Linked DNA regions of Nothobranchius furzeri. The protein of the gene in region 4 purifies or fractionates together with the protein of the main gene of each other region. This does not show direct contact. Links are inferred from orthologs where the notes say so. Each region holds a gene or a part of one and is shown on either strand. Other genes may lie near its edges.

The links.
Region 1: the proteins of hif1aa (region 4) and histone deacetylase 4 purify together in Homo sapiens (affinity purification with western blotting; 4 studies listed by BioGRID and IntAct, with this or other methods). This does not show direct contact. The link is inferred for Nothobranchius furzeri from reciprocal best matches to the Homo sapiens genes HIF1A and HDAC4.
Region 2: the proteins of hif1aa (region 4) and sumo1 purify together in Homo sapiens (co-immunoprecipitation; 3 studies listed by BioGRID and IntAct, with this or other methods). This does not show direct contact. The link is inferred for Nothobranchius furzeri from reciprocal best matches to the Homo sapiens genes HIF1A and SUMO1.
Region 3: the proteins of hif1aa (region 4) and yap1 purify together in Homo sapiens (affinity purification with western blotting; 3 studies listed by BioGRID and IntAct, with this or other methods). This does not show direct contact. The link is inferred for Nothobranchius furzeri from reciprocal best matches to the Homo sapiens genes HIF1A and YAP1.
Region 5: the proteins of hif1aa (region 4) and cul2 purify together in Homo sapiens (affinity purification with western blotting; 7 studies listed by BioGRID and IntAct, with this or other methods). This does not show direct contact. The link is inferred for Nothobranchius furzeri from reciprocal best matches to the Homo sapiens genes HIF1A and CUL2.

What each region holds. Positions count from the first base shown.
Region 1 is NC_091754.1:47,188,270-47,192,978, forward strand, and holds part of histone deacetylase 4, read right to left. Parts: intron 2,895-4,709; coding exon 2,682-2,894; intron 2,198-2,681; coding exon 2,002-2,197; intron 1,728-2,001; coding exon 1,594-1,727; intron 1,522-1,593; coding exon 1,419-1,521; intron 1,347-1,418; coding exon 1,300-1,346; intron 1,216-1,299; coding exon 1,108-1,215; intron 1-1,107. UniProt on the Homo sapiens protein: Responsible for the deacetylation of lysine residues on the N-terminal part of the core histones (H2A, H2B, H3 and H4).
Region 2 is NC_091743.1:83,213,280-83,218,700, forward strand, and holds the start of sumo1 (small ubiquitin-related modifier 1), read left to right. Parts: upstream 1-2,147; 5' UTR 2,148-2,284; coding exon 2,285-2,296; intron 2,297-2,644; coding exon 2,645-2,719; intron 2,720-5,198; coding exon 5,199-5,276; intron 5,277-5,387; coding exon 5,388-5,421. UniProt on the Homo sapiens protein: Ubiquitin-like protein that can be covalently attached to proteins as a monomer or a lysine-linked polymer.
Region 3 is NC_091753.1:45,030,903-45,035,391, reverse strand, and holds the end of yap1 (transcriptional coactivator YAP1), read left to right. Parts: intron 1-6; coding exon 7-134; intron 135-2,040; coding exon 2,041-2,153; intron 2,154-3,015; coding exon 3,016-3,251; 3' UTR 3,252-3,460; downstream 3,461-4,489. UniProt on the Homo sapiens protein: Transcriptional regulator with dual roles as a coactivator and corepressor. Critical downstream regulatory target in the Hippo signaling pathway, crucial for organ size control and tumor suppression by restricting proliferation and promoting apoptosis.
Region 4 is NC_091758.1:31,049,351-31,054,059, reverse strand, and holds part of hif1aa (hypoxia inducible factor 1 subunit alpha a), read left to right. Parts: intron 1-2,357; coding exon 2,358-2,548; intron 2,549-2,835; coding exon 2,836-2,987; intron 2,988-3,111; coding exon 3,112-3,196; intron 3,197-3,726; coding exon 3,727-3,836; intron 3,837-3,960; coding exon 3,961-4,148; intron 4,149-4,221; coding exon 4,222-4,328; intron 4,329-4,417; coding exon 4,418-4,565; intron 4,566-4,646; coding exon 4,647-4,709.
Region 5 is NC_091747.1:38,640,973-38,645,203, forward strand, and holds the start of cul2 (cullin-2), read right to left. Parts: upstream 2,801-4,231; 5' UTR 2,668-2,800; intron 1,718-2,667; 5' UTR 1,698-1,717; coding exon 1,579-1,697; intron 1,442-1,578; coding exon 1,339-1,441; intron 1,258-1,338; coding exon 1,163-1,257; intron 1-1,162.

The DNA.
Region 1 (4,709 bases), on a different chromosome or scaffold from region 4:
CTAATATTTTTTAAATGATGACATCAAACAGACAAAAAATAAGAAGTTATGGGCAAATATTGGTATTTTAAAGACTAAAGGGGAAAAATGTAAACAAATAAACAACACAATTACAAAATAACACATTTTAGGCAAAATTTAGACACAAACTGAGGACAACATTCCCTGACATACAGGGTTTATTTAATTGTGTGAAAATGTAGCACGTTAAAAAAAAAACGCGATAATACCGAAAACCGTGGTAATTTTAGTCACAATAACCGTGAGGTTAAATTTTCACACCGTGACAGCCCTAATTCAGACATTTGAGCTACAGATGTAAGATTTTACTGATGTCGTCTTTTTGTTCTAATCTGGAAAGTTTACCATGTAAACGGGGCGATGGTGGCACAGGAGTTAAGTGCTCGCCCCATAGTCAGAAGGTTGCAGGTTCGAGCCCCACTCAGTCTGTCGTTGTGTCTTTGGGCAAGACACAACCCCCTTGCCTGCTGGTGGTGGTCGGAGGGACCGGTGGCGCCTGTGCTTGGCAGCTTCGCCTCTGTCAGTGCGCCCCAGAGCAGCTGTGGCTACAATGTAGCTCATCACCACCAGTGTGTGAATGTGTGAATTACTGATTGTGTTGTAACACACCTTGGGGGTTCCAGGACTCTAGAAGGTGCTGTATCAAAAAAAAGGCCATTTACCATGTAGATAGCTTCCTGAATAGCCTCAGTTTGAAGACACAGTATTTACATGCTAAAGGATTGATGAGCTAACGGCTAGTCTGAGCACAGGTGTCATCTTTATGAAGCTCCAGTCTACGAAACTTCAGAGAAGTTTGAGTTTCATTTGGTAAACTTTAACAATGATGTTACTTATCAGTTACTCATTTCTGTTACTCATTAGTTACACAGTTACACACTCATTTCTGTTACTCATTAGTTTCTCAGTTACTCACTCATCCGTTACTCAGTTACTGATCAGTTAGTAACCCACTCATCAGTTACTAAGTTACTACAGCTTTGGCTCGTAGGTCAGAAAACCTCCCTAAGTGATTTTCCTCCAACAGGAACCCAAATCAAAATGGCTGAAGTATCATTTTTGAATAGAATGAGAGTATTATTTTACCTTCAGCTCTCCAGTGGCCACTTTGAAAACCAGCTCCACCACCGAGCCGACGGCGAGGCGAGCGGCGCTGGACGAGTGGACCTCATTCCAAATGGTGTCACTGTCCACCTGAAACACCCAGATGTTTAACTGCTGCAGTGGTTAAATACATTTAGACAATAAAACCGTCGGATCTTTCATGCCGTCACTCACCCCCACTCCTCCACACGGGAGCCGTACAAACATGGGTGTTACCGAACCTGCAGATCAGATGTAACGTCCGTTAGAGGAGATCAGCGGCAAAGTGTTTTCACTCTGAGCTCCAGGCTTACAATCAAGTTTCTGTCGGAGCGGGTTGGTTCCATACAGCAGCACGTGGGCCTCAGAGTGGACAGTCTGCAGCTCCTCCAGAGTGGCCTTCCTCCCCCGGATGCACTAAACACACAAACACAACAGCTTTCACACATCTGGCCTCAGAGCAAGACCGTCAGCACCCACGGCTCCTACCTCACACTGCGCTCTGAGCCCGGTCTCCTGCAGCCGAGACCAGATGCTCTGGATCCGCCCGGCGTGCTCCGGGTGGCTGTTGGTGTTCCCACACATGCACTGGTGCTTCTGCATCAGGGAGTCGTACACCAGACCTGGGTGGGAAAGCAGACGGCCCAGTTTCACCACAACCTGAGTTCTAACCTCAGAACAAACAAATGTCTGTGGTTCTGATCCGGGCAGCTCTGGGGGTAAAACGGCCCAACTACAAATATCTCCTTCTCTTCTGCGTTAATGCAGGTAAAACCGACACCAACAGCTTCCTTAAAGAGACTTAAGAGAGGAGATCTGAAGAAGAAGGTTCGGTTTTTAAACATTTCCGTCCCTAATGCTTCAGAAACAGAAGGGAGACATGATGACGATGCAAACCTGTGGTGAAGCGCGATTTGACGGGAGGATCAGCTGTAGGGACGCTGAGAGGAAACGAGGACGCTGAAGCTGGAGACGACTGGGCCCTGGACAGGGGACGGTGTCCTGGGAAGGAGACGGACAAACCGGCCGCCTCCATCGATGCCTGATAGTTTCTGAGCTGGTGAATCCGCTGCTGCTCCAGTAGGAGAGCCTGCTGCTCAGAGGGGAGAATAAAGGAGGAAACCAGGATTATTCATCAGTTGGGAAACACGGCCCAGAGATCACATTTAAAAGACCCTTCCGTGTGTTATGACCTCCTTCTGCCACCTTAAAACCACAGAAAGTTCATGTCTGTTCGTAATGATTATTTTACTTTTATCAAAGTCAAAATGTGGAGAAAACATCGGATACTTATAAAAGCAGTTTTGAGTTTCACCCTAAACCAGCTCTAATCAGCTTCAGATGAGTTGAGGTATTTGTGTATGTAGAGACTCTTATTTTGAAGGACTGAACCCTTTTTTAAGGCTTAACCTGTAAAACCCACCTGAACCCTTGGTCAGATCAGAACAAATCCACTCTTCTCTGACAGTAGTATTTAAAAAGTAAAGATGATAACAGGGCAGGAGGAAGTGTGGGTGCAGCGAGTGACCAGCAGGTGGCAGTGTAAACACATCATTCAGCTGCTTAACTCATCTTACCTGTCTGAAGAGCAGCTCCTGCTCTACCTGTCTCTCCAGGTGCTGCTGCAGCACCTCCTCCTGCAGCTCCTGTGGGTCTGGGGGCTCCTGCTTGATGGTGACCCCCAGCGGCAGTACTCCTCCGTCCTGGTGCTCCCTCAGCTCCTCCTCTGTCTCCTCCGGGTGGCTCTGGTGCTGCCGACCCACGGGTGACTCGCTGGGCTTCCCGATCATCTGCAGAAGGATGAGAACCAGCTGGATGTGACAGATCCCACAAACCAAACTCCTGTTCTCCTCTAACGAGCTTCATCATGATGGCTCCGGCGTGCCTCTAACAGGGTGAGTGCCTCGCTCCACGTGTGACATCACTCAGACATTCCAGCATGCTGCCAGCGACTCATCCAGGGGCCCCGACCCCATGCGCTCATTCATCCCCACTGATTGGTGGACGCGGGTGTTTATGACGCAGAAACTCGCAAGAAAGAGGAGAGTTTGCAGCAGGTCCCAAGTGGGCTCCATCTACAGGTGTGTGTGTGTGCGTGCGTTCCCAAAGCTACAGTCCTCTGGGTCTGCTGGCATCGTGCCAGGGGACATCAATGACGCCAGAGCATTCACCCCCTCGCTCTGATCCTGCTCAACTTTCCCAGAATTCCCATCTTTATTCCCGTTGCAGCAGATCTAAACAAACATGTTAAATGAAAAAAAAATAAAAATAAAAAAATAAACTCGTCTACATAAACGGATGATTTATTTGGGTTTTTCTAGCTGCTGTTGCTTGTTCTAACTTGCATTTATTATGTATTTTTATTGTTAATCAGAATCATTTTAGTTATGTGCTCTTTATTTATACCTGATTCATGTTTTTTTTACACAACATCATTAAAAAAGAAAATTTTCTGACTTTTACTTTGAAAAACCTTTACTTGTTCCTACCTTTATCCTATTGCTCATCAGTGATATTTTAGTCATCTCAAAGTCTCTGTGTGACTCATCTTTCCTGCAAATTTCAGATTTTTCAAACAGTCTCTTCTTTTTTAGAGCCTTTTATTTAGAAAAACCTTCCTCTTTTGTTTTTCTTGCTGTTTTTATGGTTTAAGAGTCCAGAATGAGGTTAGATTAGTTCAGAAGGTTCTGTCTCAACAAACGTTGATCCAGAATGAGGACAGGAGCTTTTGGCCTGTAGCCTGGATGGATCAGGAGCATCAGAACCCGGTTCGGGTCCGTCTGGGTTAGCTACGACCACGTTGGGTCATAAGGCTCTGCTATGTATTTATTTCTTTACATGTTGAATGATTGTTTATTTACTTAAAGCAGTAAAGTTAAACTAATCACCTTCTAGATGACATCATCTTCCTGAGACGCCGTGTTGGATTATAATGTATGATGCTGACCTTTGACCTGGTGTTTCTCTTAGAGAGATTTAAAGAAACCTTTTCTAATAACTTAATCATTTTTATTGAACTTGTGACGGTTAAAAACCAAAGTGAGATCCTGAATATCTCTAATAGCTAGAAATGTAAAATGAAAACAGAAACATAGAAATGAAATAACAACAATACATAAATGCTCCACAGATAAAAGCTCAGGTCTCAGGAGGATAAATCTACATTTTTTAATAAATAAAAGATGAAAATAAAACACTTTGTTCCTTTTGTTTTGTTCCCGACTCCTGAATGTGTCGCTGATGCGCCGTCAGCTGCTGGAAACGTTTTTCAGCAGAAAGTTACTGCTCAGGAGCTCTGAAGCCCACGGAGTGTGAGAGAGAGAGAGAGAGAAAGGGAGAGAGAGAGAGAGAGAGAGGAAATCCCTTGTTTCATCCACCCACCTATCCTCCTCTGCCTGAATAGGTAAAGCCATCAACAGCAACAGCAGCTTTCTTCCTCCTTTGCCCATAAAAGGCGAGGGCTTCCGCTCTGTTGCCATGGTAGCAAACGGTTACCTCTCAGCTGCCTGCACAGCCTCAGAAACATGGATGCAAATGTGTAAGTTAGCTCAAACGCGCCTCCACCCACTCACTAGCAGGAATAGTGGAGAGGCTACACACTTCCA
Region 2 (5,421 bases), on a different chromosome or scaffold from region 4:
CGAGGCCCGGTAGCTGTTGGTTCAGCCGCTTCGTCTCTCCAGGAGGGGAAGTGACAGGGTGATATTTATTATGTTCGGCACGCTACACTCCAGTGCGACAGTTCAAAGGCTAATTCAATCCACAGATCTCATTTTGTTGTGCTACACAGCCTGCTTAACTGTACCTTGCTCGATGCTGACCCCTAGTTTCATCGAGCTAACATGTACGATTAAAAACACACCGGAAATAATTACGCCGTGTTTATAAAATAAAAGCAGCACGTCTCGTGGTGGAAGGCAAAGTGGCGTTCTGTGTTTTATTTTGAAACAAATGTTAACCGAAAGTACTTTTATTTTGAGAAGCTTAACTAGTGTTAACCCCTAACCTCACTGAGGGTCCAACAGAAACATCATACAAACATGACAAGTAAAAATATTTATTAGATTTTTGAGCATTTGTTTGGAGCTTCATTTCAGTTCCAATTTATTAAATAAGTTGTAAACACAGTGTTTTATAGTATAAATTAAGCTTCCGTTTAGACAAGTCACATTTCCTCATAATTTAAATTCAAAGCAAACGATACTCAAGGTCAATTCAGGTCATTCAAATGCCATCCAGTGTGACTTGCTGTTCCAAACACACTAGGCCCACTCATTATCTGATTCATTCCAGTGACTTTTTTTCCGGAACTGCGCTGCTCTGGGTGGCTGCATGTTGGAGTAGCTCTGTTGACTATATGTAAGTTTAGCCTTTTCTTTAGCATTTTTTCTTCTAGTTTCTCAAGAAAAACTATTTTTTGGACACTTTACTTTTCTGTTTCTGGTGCTGTGAAGCTTGGAGGATTTTTACTGCTATTTTTTTTAGCTTTTTTCACTTTTTGAGCATTTGTTATGATGTGTAACCATGGCAACAAGCTGGTTTACAATCGGGAGCAGCTGATTAACATTGGAAAGGCTGAAATAATACCTCAACTGAAGCCACAAATCCCAAATGAGCTAAAATGCAAGAAGCGTGGGTGCAGAGCGTGAGCAAAACGGAGACACAGAGAGAGAGGAAATTCAAACCATCTCTTCCATCGATCATAATGGGCAATGTGAGATCACTGGTCAACAAGATGGAGGAACTCCAAGCCCTTTCAAGGACTCAGCCAGAGTTTCGGCTGTTCGGGAACCGCTGGAGGAGATAATGCAAAGAAGGATTCTCCAGAGAATCAAGAAAATTATGGACAACCCTGAGCGTTCTCTTCACAAGACTGTCCGACAACGGAAGAGTGTCTTCAGTCAGAGGCTTCTTCAGTTTCGCTGCAACACTGACCGCTACTGGAGATCCGTCCTGCCAACAGCCATTGTAATATACAACAAATCTTTGATGGCTTGATTATTATTATTATTCTGATCTACTACAGCAATCAATTTCCCTCTGGGATTAATAAAGTATTTTTGAATTGAATTGAATTGATTACATGCTGGTCCAAGTTCATTCAGTAGTGATTAACTTGACCCCTATTAATTCCAATTTAGTTCAGTTATTTGCAGTCAAATCCAGTCATGTTATGATAAAATTTAAATTGTTTCATTAAACACTATGTGTAAATGTGCATTCAACGCATAATTTTACCACTTTATATTCCCAAACAGCAAAATTCTGCTGCAAGAAGAACAATTCGTTTGATTATCTTTGGTGTGTTCTTGCTGTGTTGAAATTCTAATTCCATCTTTTAGTTTTTTTAAACACAGAAAGGTTTTATTTACCTGGGTTTTGCAGCCGCAAACGAAACGTTGCAGGTAAATAAAATCTTTCTGTGTTTTAAAAAGAACTAAAAGATGGAATTAATTTGATCACATTTTAAACACACCGCTCACTTCAGATCAATAACACTAAAACTGTGTCTTGCGATGGGATCAACATATTAACGTGCGCCTCATTGTATGATTTTTCAGATAAATGCAGTAATAATGATTATTAGACTTTTTTATTCATTGCAATTTGTTTGAATTTACATGAGCAAATGATTATAATTACTTTTAGACAATGATTGCTACTTCTGATAGTTTGAACATTTTATCTAAATATTATTTAAAAATATTTGTTGTTCACTGCTTTCATTAGAAGCGCAACAACAGCATAAAAATATAAAAAATACTATTGTTTCTCTAATCTGAAGGGAGTTTTATTGTGAAAAAACGTCTTTTCGTCACTTCCGGCTAATGTCGAATTCCCATAACATCTAACGAGAGCTGCAGCGGAAAGCTGAAGGTACATCTATTGTCAGGAAATTTGAGCCAAAACACAGAAAATAAGAAAATGTCAGACACGGTAAGACCCCAGTGTTTGTGGAAAACAACAAATCTTCTGTCGGAACTGTTCAGAAGACGCACAAATTGATTGTTTTTTTAGGCTCGTTTGGTTATCTAACATGCTACTAGCCAGCTAACGTAGCTTCAGGGACACAAAACACAGCTCTTTTTTGACCTTTTAGATAAAAATTTTGCTGTTATTTTTTAAAATGTCCAACAGAAACTGCGTGTTATTATATTTTATAGTCAAGTCGTTCAAAAAGATGAGCGATTTTGTTAAACAAACCTTCGAAGTGAACACTCAGGCCTGTTTGAACGTGGGTGCGTGTCTGTATTGTGCTGTTTATGTTGTTTGTTTATTTTTAAGGAGACAAAACCATCCAGTCAAGACGGCGGCGATAAGAAGGATGGCGAGTATATAAAGTTAAAAGTGATTGGTCAGGTAGGTTTTAATATCATTACAGCTAGTGAGATGGCTTTAGTCTGGTTATTCCTGCTTATTTACTGATTCACTAACTCTTTTTATATAACGGCCCTCCATGTAACCATTTTTTTAAATGGTTTTAAATTCATTTTGTAATTTAGTTTGAATTTACTGGCTGTAGTTATGTCCAGATTGGTATTAACTGCTGCAATTCTTACTGTTTATGCATTTTCTCAAATTATTTTACATCATTAGACTTTTTGTAAAACAACGCAAATGCTGCTAGAGAAGCATGCAGCTTACCTTAGTCTAGGCCAGGGGTCTGCAACCTTAACCCCCCCCCCCCCCCCCCCAATAAATAACACTTATTTACAACTACAGCTGTTGCAGAATCCTTCTGTAAAAAGTAATTTTATTAGACAAGACAGCATTATTTTTATAGCACATTTCCTCCACAGAGGCAACTCAATGTGCTTTATAATAAAGAGACAATTTCCATCTTTCACTTCTTTTTACAACACAGAAAAGGTTTCATTACCTTCAAAGTTTCGTTTGCGGCTGCAAACATCGTCAGGCTGACGCCGATGGTGGCGTCACTTCCTTCGTTTAGCGGGCAGCAGAAGACATCGTCGCCCTCTGCTGCCCGCTCTCCCCTCTCCGATGATGCAGTCCCATGCGCGAGCCAATGAGTAAACTCCATCGTCTCTGTTCATGGTCCCACATCCTTATCTCGATAGCTTCTTTTATCCATCTTTTGTTTTTCTGTTTGGTGTTTATGATCCTTGTGTTATCCCACATAATGGACTGGGACAACACAAGGATCATAAACACCAAACAACAGAAAAACAAAAGATGGATAAAAGACGCTATAGAGATAAGGAGACATGGATGTGGGTCCATGAACAGAGTTGATGGAGTTTACTCGTTGGATCGCGCATGGGACTGCATCATCGGAGAGGGGAGAGCAGGCAGCAGAGGACGAGGGCGACAACGTCCTCTGCTGCCCGCGGATAAACGAAGGAAGTGACGCCACCATCGGCGTCAGCCTGACGATGTTTGCAGCCGCAAACGAAATGTTGCAGGTAAATAAACCTTTTCTGTGTTTTAAAAAGAACTGAAAGATGGAATCTGAAACTAAACACAGCAAGAACACACCAAAGATAAATAAAGAGACAAAACAAAAACACAAATGAACATTAGGGTTACATAAAAAGAAAACATTGAAGACTAAAGCTGGAAAATTACCATAATATCAATGAAACATTGAGAAGAGAAATAATGTGGTCAGTCAGGAATGACTAAGTAGGTGTAAGGAGACTAAAACTAAGGCAGTAAAAACTGGTACAATGAACTACAAAAAACTTGTTGAATGTCTCTTTTTCTTTTAGAGAATTGGGCCACTGAAAAACCAGTTTTTCCCCTCAGAATTCTGAGAAAAAAAAGAGACAAAACTCTGAGATTAAAATCAGGATTCAGACATTCCCCCTGAGATTATAATCAGAAATATATTTTGTCATATTCTGTAAATATTTTTTGAAGAGATTCTGCTATTAAAGAGCAAGTCACCCCCAAATCAACTTTTTTTTTCTGATAAACTATATAGTGTGTCTAATCACGCTGCAGACACGTGTAGTCAATAGTTTTGTACTTTAGTGCATTTTAGTTCAAATTGTAATTTTCTGCCTAAAACTGTCAGTGTTGTGCCGTTGTCAGGTAAAAACCCTGCACTGCATTAGAATCTAAATCTGCCATCGCTATTGGCTAAGAGGTATGCTATGATGTAAACTGGTCCTTATGATGTCACAATGCCGTTGTGAGCCTGTGTGTGTATTTGTTAGTGGCTCCGCCCTCTCGGTCTGCCAGGCAACAGCATTTGTTGCATTTTTCAAACATGAAGAGGGAGTGAAGTAAGTTTCTTGTAGGGGGTGACTTGCTCTTTAAGTTATAAAATTTAGAAAACAAACGTGTGCGTACACAGTATCACTATTTTTTCTTTGGATGTTGATATTTGTTAAAAATGATGTAAAAAACACAAATAGATGTAAAAATAAGTACTGTTGTGGATATTCAATGCAATTATTCCTTAAAAAACTGAAATGCTGCCTAAACCTGCATTTGTTTTTTTTTTTTAAAGTTAAATAGATTTGGAAAACACATTATTTTATATTATGAGCCAAAGTTCTTTGAGCCATTGTGGAAGATCCAGAAATCCTTTTGGCCTTGTCGTATAGGGTGTGTGATTTTTTTAATGCAACACGTTTCCCTGTATACATCAGACGTCATATGTGTGATTGTAATCCTTCTAAATGCTTGAATTTCAACATATTTTAGAGGTTTCTAACAGGCTTGAGTCTGATCATGTTGTAATTTGATCATAGAGACAGTTCATGCAACATCTCAACAACTCACCTTGAAAATGCTTTAATCTGACAAACATGTAACAAGCAGTAAATGAACAGATTCTCATTGCTGCCTCACCCTTTTGTTTGTGCAACAGGACAGCAGTGAAATCCACTTTAAGGTGAAAATGACCACACATCTAAAGAAACTCAAAGAGTCGTACAGCCAGAGACAGGTACGATCAGCTGTAGCTCCTATTGCTGCTCGATTCTTTACTCTAAACCAAACAAAGAGAAACTCGACGAACCCAAACGTCTTCATGTGTCCTCTGGTGCTTCTCTCACAGGGCGTCCCAGCGAGCACACTAAGGTTTCTGTTTG
Region 3 (4,489 bases), on a different chromosome or scaffold from region 4:
CCACAGGAGCTTGCTTTGAGGAACCAGCTCCCCACCAGCATGGAGCAAGATGGCCCCACAAACCCTGTGTCCTCCCCTTTGGCCCAAGATGCTCGGACCATGACTGCCAACAGCTCTGACCCATTCCTCAACAGGTTAGTTTCCTGCAGAGCCTCCTCTGTCGAACACCTGGAGGAAATAATAACGCAGCGAAATCTCAAGGCATGTCATCACCCAGCCCGAAGAAAATGCTTGGGCTTGGCTCGTCGGACCCAGCGCACCAGCGCATCCTCGGCTATTTGAGCTCGAGCTGCTGGAGCTGAATCACAAATGTTTACCGAAACAGAAGGCATGTCTCTTAACTTAACCCACTTCACATGGTTGTGACTCACAGACCAGCAGATGTTCTGCAGTGTAGCGCACAATAACGACCTCTGGTGTCCAACCCCTGTAATAAAGGTACATGGTGGTTATGAAAGCAGCACTTTTTTCTTTTTTGGCTAGAACTTTCATAACTTGGCATCAAAGATGAAGCCTGGTGGATCAGAGTTGAACCCGATCCCGACTGGGATGTATTAACAAGACTTCACCTCATTCTGGTGTGCATTTCTTCACAGTTGAAGCAGTCGTTCTTCTGTGAGCAAACAGTGTGGAAAGAGCTGAATGGCGAGCGGCGGGACATGAGAACATGTGGTCCAGTCAGTAGACAGGCCGACCTAATCTCCCCTCCTCCCCCTGTTCCCGTCACTCCCTGGCTCTCACAAAGGCTTCATTCATCCTGCCTCTGCCATACTCTGCCTACATATTTTTCTGCTAATTAGTATAGGCTCGTCAAATGTCTTCTTTTCTCCCTTTGTCTCTGTTGTCCCTGTTTTTATTGTTGCCCTTTCCTGTGTGCTACGATGGAAAGTGGGAAAAATAAAGCTCTGTTTTACTTGCAGAAGGTCCCAGAGAGCACTTTTGGAGCTCTAAATAACACATTCAGATCATCGACATATATACGATTCAGATGTATCGTTTAAAGGTGTGGAACACTGAACCATTTAAAATGTTGTTTCTGATTATGATCAGTCACTCTTGAGTTTTTCATGCAGGCTGAACATGAAAATAGTCTCCTACACCCATCTCCTGCGTTTGTGTCTGATAGAAAATAGACGGTGAAACTGTAGGATTTGAAAAGTCTGACAGATCTACGTCACATTGTTCCTTAATATTCATGGACTCACCTATGTTGACTCGTGAACATCCCTGCTAGTAGAAGCTAACCGTTAGTGTTAGCACCTCCACACAGCAGAAGCTCCTCCAGGCTTGTGTTATTTGTAGAGATAAAACGTCTACGAAGCACGCCAGTGGTAGTCGAGTTGCTCCGAGGCAAGATGTCCAAATATCAGGAAATAGGACTCCAAAACCTGCTGTTTGAAGCTCGGCTGTGATGTGGCTCACCTTTAGGTCCTAGAAATGGTGCACCCGTATATTTCTTCTCCCTAGAAAACGGCGTGCAAGGCATTCATTCCTACTAGAGACCACTGCAAATGTACAGTGATCCCTCGCTACTTCGCGGTTCGTTTATCGCGGATTCACGACTTCGCGGATTTTTTCTTTGGAGCCTTATTCAAGGGAAATTCGCCAATTCGCGGTATTTTTCAGCAATTCGCAGTATTCTATGCGAAATATCAAGAAATTCCTGTTTTTTTTTCATCAATTTCATCATAAAATGCACTTTTTGTAATAAAACTATAAAAAAAAACAAGTAAAAATACAGTACTATGTAAAGGGAGGGTTTTAAAAGTCTGAATACTGAATACGTACCTGTTAAATAAATACTGGAAATATGGTGTCCCTACTTTGCGGATTTTCACCTATCGCTGCCAGGTCTGGAACGCATCTACCGCGATAAATGAGGGATCACCTGTATTGATTAAATGAGTGTTCCACACCTTTAATGTCGGAGAGCAAGTAAAAGGTCAGAAATAAAAGCTTGTGAGTTTTGCGTTGATTTAAATCCTGGTGGACAGCTAATAAGCCACAATTTGTCTCTACCTCTTTTTTCCCCATTCCCAGTGGGACCTACCACTCCCGGGATGAGAGCACAGACAGCGGATTGAGTATGAGCAGCTACAGTGTTCCTCGCACTCCAGATGACTTCCTGAATAGTGTGGATGAGATGGATACAGGTGAGTTCCTCACTGGGCGTAATTACCATGTAGTTGCTGCTTTATAAATATTTAAATAGAACGATAACTCCTGTTTTTAGTATCCTGGGAGCGGTTACTGCTAATCTTTCTATGCTGTTAAAGGAATCTTTGTCAAATCTTCCAGAATACAAGATACCAAAATTGCAATTTTAGATCATAATTTAGATCAGCTTCTCCATTTCCCTCCAACATCAATAAGAAACAGTCCCATCTGATTGCAGAATGCTTTTTTTTAGCATCAGGGTTTATCTTTAAATGCAGCTGTTGAGTTTGAAGGTTTTCCCAATTATGAGGCTACATTGATCACACTGGTGGAAATATTTTTTTATGTTGGAGGACTCTTACGTCACACTCTGCCAAAACTTTTTACCATCGTTTCTGCTTTTTAAAAATTCTTGCCGTCTGCAATTCCGAGCAGGCCTCTCGTCTGGCCACCAGGATATTTCCCGGTGCTCCCGATGGCCAGTCTGCTACTGCCTGTTATCTAAATGCATTTGGGGTCATAGGTTAAGGTGGAAAAGAGGGTTTGACTTTTATTTATTTATTTTTTGAGGGGTTGCATTTCAGCTACCGTACCTACACGAGTCTATCAGGATTTTTCCACTCTAGGACAAAAAACCAACATCAAGGCTCCTCGCACAGACCGAATATATTCCTGCTCCGTTTTCTGTGTATTTTTGCCCTAAAACTCTAGATTTGCTTAAACATGAAAAACATTCCGGTTTTATCATTTGCCGGAAAATTAAAAGATGTTTATCACTTTCATTTGTTTTTCTCCTCAAGCAGATTGATTTGGTTCAGTTGTTTTATCTCAAACTTGTCATCTTTTCCCATTCATCAGGGGACCAACTTCCGCCCTCCATGGCAACGCAGCCCAACCGTTTCCCTGACTACCTGGACGCCATCCCAGGAACAGACGTGGATCTTGGCACCCTGGAGAGCGAGAGCATGGCGGTGGAGGGCGAAGAGCTGATGCCCAGTCTGCAGGAGCCTCTGAGCTCCGACATCCTCAGCGACATGGAGTCTGTGCTCGCAGCCACCAAGATCGACAAGGAGAGCTTCCTGACATGGTTATAGAGGACCGGAGCGGGGCCCTCTGAACTCCTCCTGTCTCAACAATCTGAACATCTGCCTGGCCACATCTGTGAAGGAATCCACGTTTGCTCTTTTACCAGACATTTCAGCGAGCCTCTGAACTTCTCTCCGCGTGCAGGGCTAACCTCTTTTCAGACAGTATTCTGGTCTTTTTTATTTTTTATTTTTGTCTGTGTCTTCAAGGCTGGCCTGTGAACAGACAATTTATGCAAGGGCCCCTAAATTGTTCCCAGGTCTTTTTGGTGAGTGTAGGGCTTATTTAGTCGGAGCGTAGCTGAACTGGGCAGATGCACGAACTCTTCCGTAAGGACTGCCTTTTACTGCTCATCACCTGGAGTCTCTGGAGCCTCTCTTGTCTTGCAGTATAGCACGAAGCAGCACTACATAACTGTGTTTGGGGCTTTTAGTTTCATAGCTTTATATTTGGCGCCTTTTTTAAAAAACATAAACAAGCCTGAAAAACCAAAAATGATGTATGTGGAGCATAAAGAACAATACTGATTTGGAGTGACGGTAACGTGAAGCCCATTTTGGACGTGTTGGCTTTGCTTTTTGGGGCGTGGGGGGTGGGACCAGGGGACCGACTACATTGCTGCTTGGCTGTGCCAGCGAGCCTAAGTTAAACCTTTGATCGATCAAGTGCCTTCAGATGTATTTTTTTTTTTAGACGCGAGCGACTCGAATAAATACCCAGTTTCTGTAATGCAACAAAAAGTATCAGGCTGTATTAACTAATATAAGCCGCATGTTCTTGTTTGTGGATCAATAATCAAAAACTATTTTATTTTATGTACGTAAGGTGGTTTGGGGGATCTTTTTTAACCTCTAGTGTCTTTGTATCATCTTTATCCGAGCCTAACACTCGTTTTATTAGTTTTTTCCTTTTTCTTTTATCTCGTTACACCTGTTTGGTAGATTTTTTCTTTTACTCGGATTCATTGAAACATTTTTGTTATCAGGATCAGCTGTTCTCACATCACAAGATTCAGTCAAGCAGAACACTTTTTTTTAAAACATAACCAATCGTCTGATTCTTCTTTTTTTTTTGCTTTACTATACATATATATATAAATATATATATAAACGTATACATATTAGTGTTTTTGTTGATCACGAGCAGCTTGTTACTATATCTGCTTAAACATGAACCAAAAAAAAAAAGCAAAAAGAGGCAGATCTATAGACTCTATAGAGAACTTTCCTCAGATCAGTTTTAGCAT
Region 4 (4,709 bases):
TATTTTCTTAAAGTTAAGAAAAATAATAAAACCTTTACAATGTGGATATTCTTTATTTAATTGGTTTATGGGAATTTTTGGGTGAAAAACTGAAATCTAAACATTTTACTGGTACATTTTGTCATGAAAAATTGTTTAAACCTGCAAATTGATAATTTAATATAGATATAAACATGAGTTAGTTGTTTTATTGTTTTAGCCTCTGTTATTAGCAGCCATTGTGGAAGGTACTAAGGGCTTCAGACCCCTACTTTAGACAATCTGCTGTTTAGTATGAATACATTCACCACCTGTGTGTGTGGGGGGGGGGGGGTGGGGGGGGGGGCTTTGTCTTCCACATGAACCTTGTCTCCATTACATGAAGTTGTATTTTAGTCAGATGTTACAGGACTCCCATAAAGGGACTGAACAGCCACTACTATTTTACAGACGAGTATTTATCAGTCATTATTGTGAGTGCGAGGTTCACAACGGTGTGGCGAATAAAACTGGACTCGTCACTTTGCAGAAATGGTTTTCCCGTGTGTCTCATGGATGGGATGCTAATAATTTTTTGGGATGAGTTGGAATATAATTCCCTCCGAATGTGAACGCTGACTTTGAAGGAAGAAAGTATTTACGTTGGCATAACTTTGTAGCTTCCCAATTGTAAATGGAACTTAATAGCAGCAACACTGAGTGTTTTTCTGTTTGTGTGTTCATGTCACCGAATAGAAATTTTGACCCACATGCTTTTCGCTAGATTAAATCAGCACCTAGCCTATTTCCCGAGGGACGGTGATTCGGCTCAGCATTGAAAATCTTCCAGCCGCAGAGGACCAATTAGCTTTATCGTGGATCGGTTTGTGCATCACGTGTGTGTAATGGAAAGCTTTCGTGTGAAACACAGCCTGCCTGTTAACTAAAATTAGCCTCCTGCAAATTACATTATCTGGTCTATTTTCTGGCAAAAACAAAAGGGCCTTATTCAGTGCTGTAAGTGCGTGCCAGATCAATTTCAATCAGGTGTGCATTTCATAGCTGTGGGTTTTTAAGCTGTTCATTTGGTCGTCTGGCTGCTCACATGTCATCTAAATGTATTTCAACTTACTGAGGTGCAGTTTGCAACAAAGATTGGTGATATAAATTTATGGCATATGAATGGGAGATGAAATCTGTTTTTTGAGGCATCGCGGTTTTTCTAAATCGATTTTGTTTATGTTTATTTACCGCAATGTTGAGCAACATAAGGTGGAACAGGAAGTACAGCACAGACTTTAAAAAAATTTTTTTATAAGCACATAATGGAGGCACAATTTGCAGTGGCGTGTCCAGGCCTTTTAAAATGGGTGGCTCCAGTGGGGCACTAATTTATGCATGGGTGGCACCTATAGTTATACTTTTTGTTTTGATCTGCGGGGTTGTCACCCCTCACAAAATAATACATTTTTGCATTATTCTTCAACTTCTTGTTTTGAGGTGGTTAGCAAGCCACTTCTTGGTGCATTACCGCCATCTACTGGAGTGAGTTTGGACCAGGACTATGAATACTATTTTTGTCAATATGAAAACAATAATTAATAATACACAAATGTTCTGTAGGCCTGTGACTAGAAACTAATGTTAAAAGTCCATACTGTCGACTACTGTTTTAGGGGTTAACCCTTATTTTTTTGTGGACAACTTAATGTCAATTTAAGTGGAACTCATTGGGGTGGCCAGTCAGATTCCAAGAGTGGCAAATGCTGCTCCAGACCACTCACTGGACACGCCATTGACAATGAGCAATAAAAAGAGTGAACAAGTGAACATTTTAAACATGGCCGCCGAGCGAGACCAGTGTTGTGTCAAAAGGCCTTCCTTCTCCAAATATCGTCTGTTTTTCTTTTGTTTTTGATTCTGAATCAAGACAACAGCAAACATCATTCAAAATAATATTAAACCCACAACCATTTTTTGAATGAAAGCGGCCATTTGATGCACCCCTTCTTGTTCTTACCTTGAATCTAACAATTTTGTCTCATTAAGTTTTTATAGTGTAGTGATTTCAGTCACTTGAAGAATCAATAGCCCTGCTTTGATTCAGCGGTGGTCACATTAGCCGAAATGGCACTGTAAAATGTCTGAATCAGTGTGTGGGATGGGGGTGGGGGGATGGCTGAGCTCTGACTCTTTCCTGTGTAGTCATTTGAGTGGGCGAGTCCTATTTCGTTTGTTCAGCAGCCAATAGGACGCTTGCATTGCACTGGCTGGGCTGAGACAGCCTGTTGAATGCTCCAGCTGCGCTGGCCTCTGCAGACATGTTTCAGTTTTGGGAAAAGGGATTTTTACGTTTAACAAACCCAGCATGAGGCTGATCCACCTCCTGTCTCCTGCAGGGTGAGCTCGGAGCGCAGGAAGGAGAAATCAAGGGATGCAGCAAGATGCCGCCGTGGGAAGGAGTCGGAGGTGTTCTATGAGCTGGCCAAGCAGCTGCCTCTCCCCCACAGCACCAGCTCAAGCCTGGACAAGGCCTCCATCATGAGGCTGACCATCAGCTACCTGCGCATGAGGAACCTTCTCTGCAGTGGTCAGCATCTGTAGCGACAGATGATTATAAACCATTCCACTGCTCTGTTAACCATGTACCTGCAGTATGCTTGTCATATTTGTTATCTTGTTGACTTCAGAGTAATTCACTTCATTTACATGTAGCCTATAGTGGAAAACACAAAGGAGGTACTGCGTATTCTGCCATAATCTCTCTGCAGAAACACCTGGGGCTAGAGGAGTGGTTTTTCTGTGTCTGCAGCTGTTTGAACCGGTTATTTGTCCTTTAGCTTATCACCCACCTTGCTCCCTCTCTCAATGCTCCAGATAAGCCAATGGAAGAGGGGGAAACTGAGCTTGATGTTCAGCTGAACGGGTCCTACCTGAAGGCGTTGGAGGGCTTCCTCATGGTGCTGTCTGAAGACGGCGATATGATTTATCTCTCGGAGAATGTCAGCAAGTGTCTTGGGCTGGCGCAGGTGGGTCTGAAGCAGGGAATTAAAAAATAAGTGCACATTTTTAAGCTTTAAATGAATACTTCTTGGTAGCTCTATTTATATATTTGTGTTTTAAAAGTATATTTCTGTTTGTTTGCCTTTGCAGTTTGACCTGACTGGCCACAGTGTGTTTGACTTCACACATCCCTGCGACCAGGAGGAGCTGAGAGAGATGCTCCTCTGTAGAACAGGTGAGCAGTGTTGCACTGAAGAGTACAAATGTGTAGAGAAACCGAGACGCGCACACACAGAGCTCTCTGTCGGGTGTGTTGGTGCTCCAGATGGTAGAAAGTCCAACTCACTCTGTGGTCAGCTCTGCTTAGTAACGACACAAAAATCCACTCCGGTTTTGAGCAGTGGCTGAGTAATCTTCCGACCTTTTAATCATCAATAACAGATCTTTGCTTTGCTTCTCGTTAGTGAGATAAGTTTTGCTGAATCTTCTCTCTGCTTCGGTTCACTCTTACATTTAGGACCTGTGTTTTTTGTTATTTCTTTGCTCACTGATACCGCCTCGGCTCTAACTGCTGGTAGCTATTTCCATTTTATCCTCTAGCTCACCACAAGGCCACAGCATCAGAGCAAATGTCTCCTTTTGATGCAAATTTTATCAGTTGGCAGTTTGTAGATTGTTGAGTTGGGACCAATAAAAAAGAGCAATCTACTGCTGGCTTACTCTGCCTCACTCTGGATTCATATCTGTTTAATTTTGTGATTCCAGGCTCCAAAAAAAGCAAGGAACCAAATAATGAACGGAATTTCTTTCTGAGGATGAAATGCACCCTCACAAGCAGAGGTCGCACGGTTAATGTCAAGTCGGCTACATGGAAGGTAAAGAAGTGTTGAAGCTGTGGAGCATCTCGGGCTCCTAAATTAAAAAAGTTACTTAAAGTAAAAAATAATAATTACAGAAAGATTAAAGTTTCCCTCTTGGTTTGAAAACGTGTTTCTGTAGGTCCTTCACTGCTCGGGTCACATGTGTGTTCATGACCATCGAGCAGAGCAGATGGAGCCACTGCTCCCCTACCTGGTTCTGATCTGTGACCCCATCCCCCACCCTTCCAACATCGAGGTCCCTCTGGACACCAAGACGTTCCTCAGCCGCCACACCATGGACATGAAGTTCACATATTGTGATGAGAGGTGAGAGAATCTGGAGTCCCACGGGGACACCTAGTGCTCAGTGTGGGTACTACAACATTGTTTCTGTTCCCAGGATCACTGAGCTGATGGGATACGATCCAGAAGACCTGCTGAATCGTTCTGTGTACGAGTACTATCACGCTCTGGACTCTGACCACCTCACAAAGACTCACCACCACTGTAAGCACAAAGAGCATAGATCTAGAGTAAAATTGGAAAACGTCGCTGTTTATTTCGTGACTTTTGACCGTGTTTTCTGCTGTTTGCAGTGTTTGCGAAGGGCCAGGTCACCACAGGTCAGTACCGGATGTTGGCCAAAAGAGGAGGCTTTGTCTGGGTGGAAACGCAGGCCACCGTTATCTACAACAACAAGAACTCACAGCCACAGTGTGTCGTCTGTGTCAACTTTGTCCTCAGGTACTTGCACTAGTATCGTCATGTCATGTGGAGATATCGGATCAGAAAGTAGCATACTGACATCTTGTGGTTGTCCAACAGTGGGATCCAAGAGGACAAACTAATCCTGTCTTTGGGGCAGACTGAGGACATGAAGCCAGTGAA
Region 5 (4,231 bases), on a different chromosome or scaffold from region 4:
GTTTCTCTTCTCCTCTGTTGGAGGTCTGTGCTATGTTTACCATTTTGTATCACTGCTGTAGCGCGGGAGCTGAATATGTCACGTGTTCAGAGTATTCTGACCCAAGGCTGCACTGCATTGTGAATTATATTAAACACTGCATTGATTGCCCGTTCAGTTCAAGATCAACAGTCAGGCCCCTCCCTATCTAAGCAAACTCCTCCACTTCTACCACCCTTCTCGTGCTCTTAGGTCTGCAGATAAACTCCTCCTCACTGTCCCTAAGACGCGTTTGAGGACTCGCGGGGAAAGGGCTTTTTTGTATCTGTGCCCCAAAATTTTGGAATTCACTACCCCTTCCGGTTAGACGAGCACCCTCGCTTCCCATCTTTAAATCGAGGCTGAAAATGCATTACTTCTCCATGGCCTTCGATTCTTAGCATCAACAGTTTGTCATACCTCCTTCTACTGTGGTTTTTCCCATCTTAAATCTGTGGTCTGACTACTTTTAATCATTTTTTGTTTTTATTGTTTTTGTTTGAAACGGTTCTTCGTTGTATTTTTTTTTTATTAATTTTATGACTCGACTATTTTATCCTTTTATTGTTTTATTTTGTACAACGCTTTGGTTGATTGTAATGCCATATTGAAAGCGCTTTTATAAATAAAATGGTGTGGTGTTGGTTCCACCACTATGTATGTTACGTTATTTAACAAAAATTAATGTGGTTGACAAATATAACTTTTGAGGTCAAATACAGTATGGATAATTTACATGCAGCAAAAATTTTAAGACCCAGTTGTCAAAATTCAAGACTTAAGGTGTGATTTCCAAATTCCTAAATTCAATGCTTTTAAGACTTTTAAAGACCCCGCGGGAACCCTGAGAACAGAATCAATCTGCTCTCCCTGACAGAGGTCAACACCCGTGTCAAGTCACAACTTCCCGTAAAAATGTGCTGGAAAATGATGGTGCAGATTCAAAGTCATCAGATCAGGGGCATTTGTTTACATCCGGAACTAGGAAGCTTCAGTTTGTTCTCCAACTGTATAATGCTTCTGCTCAGATAGAACAGTGTAGTGAAGGCTACTCTTTAGTAACATTATAAATAAATCTAATAATAAATAATAAATGAACCTCATGACTCTCTCATATCAATGAGATCAAAAGCCTGGGTGTTACCTGTACAAGCAGTCCATGTAGTCGGCTCCTTTACTGTACTCCTCCCAGTACATGTGGTACATAACTAAAACCTTCTCCTCCGATTCCAGAACTTTCTAAAAAACATAAACAGGTAGAGCAGCTGTTATAGACTGCTAAGTTCAACAGGAATGCAAGAATTGTATTTTAACGCTCACCTTGTACAGCTGCCTAACGTGGTTCTCAAGAAAAATTTTGGTCTCTGTGTATAACTTCTCCCCTAAAGGCTCAGGGTACGCAACACACAAGGCATAAATGTCACTAATGTTACAGTCAAGGGTTAGAACGAAGAGTTTGCACTAATACAAACATAAACACAGTGTAGTAAAGTACTTTACCGTACATGTTTACAATCCAAAATATAGACACATTAAATGGCTTCTCTGAAACTAGGATACGAGAATCGATCGTTCCACGTGGCTCGTTCCACGTAGTCGAGCATCACGACAGCCTTGATTGTAGTCAGTAACTTGTTCCATGTCTCATCGAAATCCACCACCCGTGGCTTTAAAGACATTGTAGATTTCCTCTTTTATCCTACAGAAGAATAAAAATAGTGAATACGTTGTTACGGGTGAATATTTAATATTTTGAAGAATCTGTATTTTATCATGTTTTTTCTGGTAATACCATTTCTTTCACCAATCTAATAATGTAATACGTCCTTATTAAACAGAATACAAGTGATGAAATCAAAAGGAAAGCGTTGAATAGTGACATCAATGAAGAAAACCAATGAATGTTTTTAAATGGATATCTTTGCTCCACTAATGACATCAATGACGTTGCAATAAACTATACACCTCTAAACCAGTGGCATAAAAACAGCATTAGATATAGCTGCTCACATATAGCTGCTTGTGATAGTAAGATTAGATACACAATGTACAAAGACAACGTTCATTGGGACAAAACACACCGGACACACGGTCTGGTGTGTCCGCGTTGCGATCATAACTGACAATAACTGACATGAACTTTCATTTTGCTTTCACTGAAGTCATTTATTAAATCAAGTAAAGAAACGTAGGCCCTGTGTTCTTGTGTCAGTTGAATAAACGTCACACAATATCACTGAAACACTTTGACAGTTTTAGTCGTTGCAGCCGGTTTCATTCATACACGTACGCGTCTCTCCTGAAGGAAGGATCGGTGCTAAACACACCTCTTTACAGTCCCGATAAACGAAGCTAAGTAAAGGTGACTGGCTAGCGGCATGCCAATCCCAAAATAGGATTCAATGCTAAAAGGCTAACTAGCTTCATGCTAGCATGCTAAGCTACTTCTTCCCGTTTGAATAGCATACAATCTGATGGAAACAGTTAGCGTTCCGTGTGATAGCAGCTAGCTAATGGCAGCTCAGCTATCGCTAGCAAGTCATCTCAGTAGTTTCTCCACAATCACACTGACACCTCCACAAAACATGGCACTGCTGTCAAACAAACCAAATCACCCGAGTTAAGCAGGGACTCTTACATACTACATACCTCTGTGTAATATGTAGTTGTTAAAAACCCAGTTAGTATTCTCCGCTGTCACGGGTTTGATTTGTTTTACAGGTCTTCCCTAGTATTCTTCTTCTTCTATGGTTTTAATGACAGATTAAAATGCCAGTTTCTGAATGCTGCCACCTACCGTATCGGAACGTGCAAGGGTACATTTGAATAAATAAATAAATATTTTCAGTTTGCATTTGATTTTTTTGTTTTAACAAGTTTGAAGAAAATAGTGTCAAATATTAATCAAACAATTTGCCCTTTCTTGTCTATTCCATTGCTGTCTATGTCAATTTTTTTCTCGAAAGACATTGTTTCATTTGTAAAAGAGTTCACCACTAATTGGCAACTTTGACACTAAAATATTGGAATGCATTCCAGTCAGCAACATTATCTCACATTAAAAGTCAAGCAGATGATGATTCTCCAATCACACAAACATGTTACTTCTTCCTTTGGTAGATTTGTTTCATATTTCATGCAAGTTGTGATTTTAACTGGTGAGGTGTCCGGGTGTGTGCTGCACCCACCTCACATCTACTGAAGGATGCAGGTAGGTATCAGTTCCTAGCAACCATGGAAACAAGCAAAGACAGAAAATGAATAGATGGGAGTTTCGCTGTCATCGGTGATTTACCTTTGGGAATGACTGTTCTAGATGCGTCACATAATTGCGTGGACAACATCCATCCATCCATTCATCCATCCATAAACTGAACCACTTCTTCCTTAGTAGGGTCACAGGAAGCTGGTGCCTAATTCCAACTAAACAGTAATAGTTAAAATTAGCGTGGGACATGTTGGAAGGCCATTGCAACTTACAGTTGTGGTCAGAAGTTTACATACACTTGTAAAAAATATAATATAATGGCTCTACTGAGTGTCCCGTTATTTCTAAAACTCTGATTTTTCTCTTACCGAGGAACTGTGCTGCTCTGGGTGGCTGCATGTTGGAGTAGCTCTGTTGACTATATGTAAGTTTTGCCTTTTCTTGGACAGTTTTTCTTCTAGTTTCTCAAGAAAAACTGTATTTTTTGGACACTTTACTTTTCTGTTTCTGGTGCTGTGAAGCTTGGAGGATTTTTACTGCTATTTTTTAGCTTTCTTTACTTTTTGAGCATTTGTTATGATGCGTAACCATGGCAAAAAGCTGGCTTACAATCAGGAGCAGCTGGTTAACATTGGAAAGGCTGAAATAATACCTCAACTGAAGCCACAAATCCCAAATGAGCTAAAATGCAAGAAGTGTGGGTGCAGAGCGGGACGGAGACAGAGAAAGAGGAAATTCAAACCATCTCTTCCATCGATCATAACGGGCAATGTGAGATCACTGGCCAACAAGATGGAGGAACTCCAAGCCCTTTCAAGGACTCAGCCAGAGTTTCAGCAGTTTCGGAACCGCTGGAGGAGATGATGCAAAGAAGGATTCTCCAGAGAATCAAGAAAATGATGGACAACCCTGAGCATTCTCTTCACAAGACTGTCCGACAACGGAAGAGTGTCTTCAGTCAGAGGCTTCTTCAGTTTGGCTGCAACACTGACCACTACTGGAGAT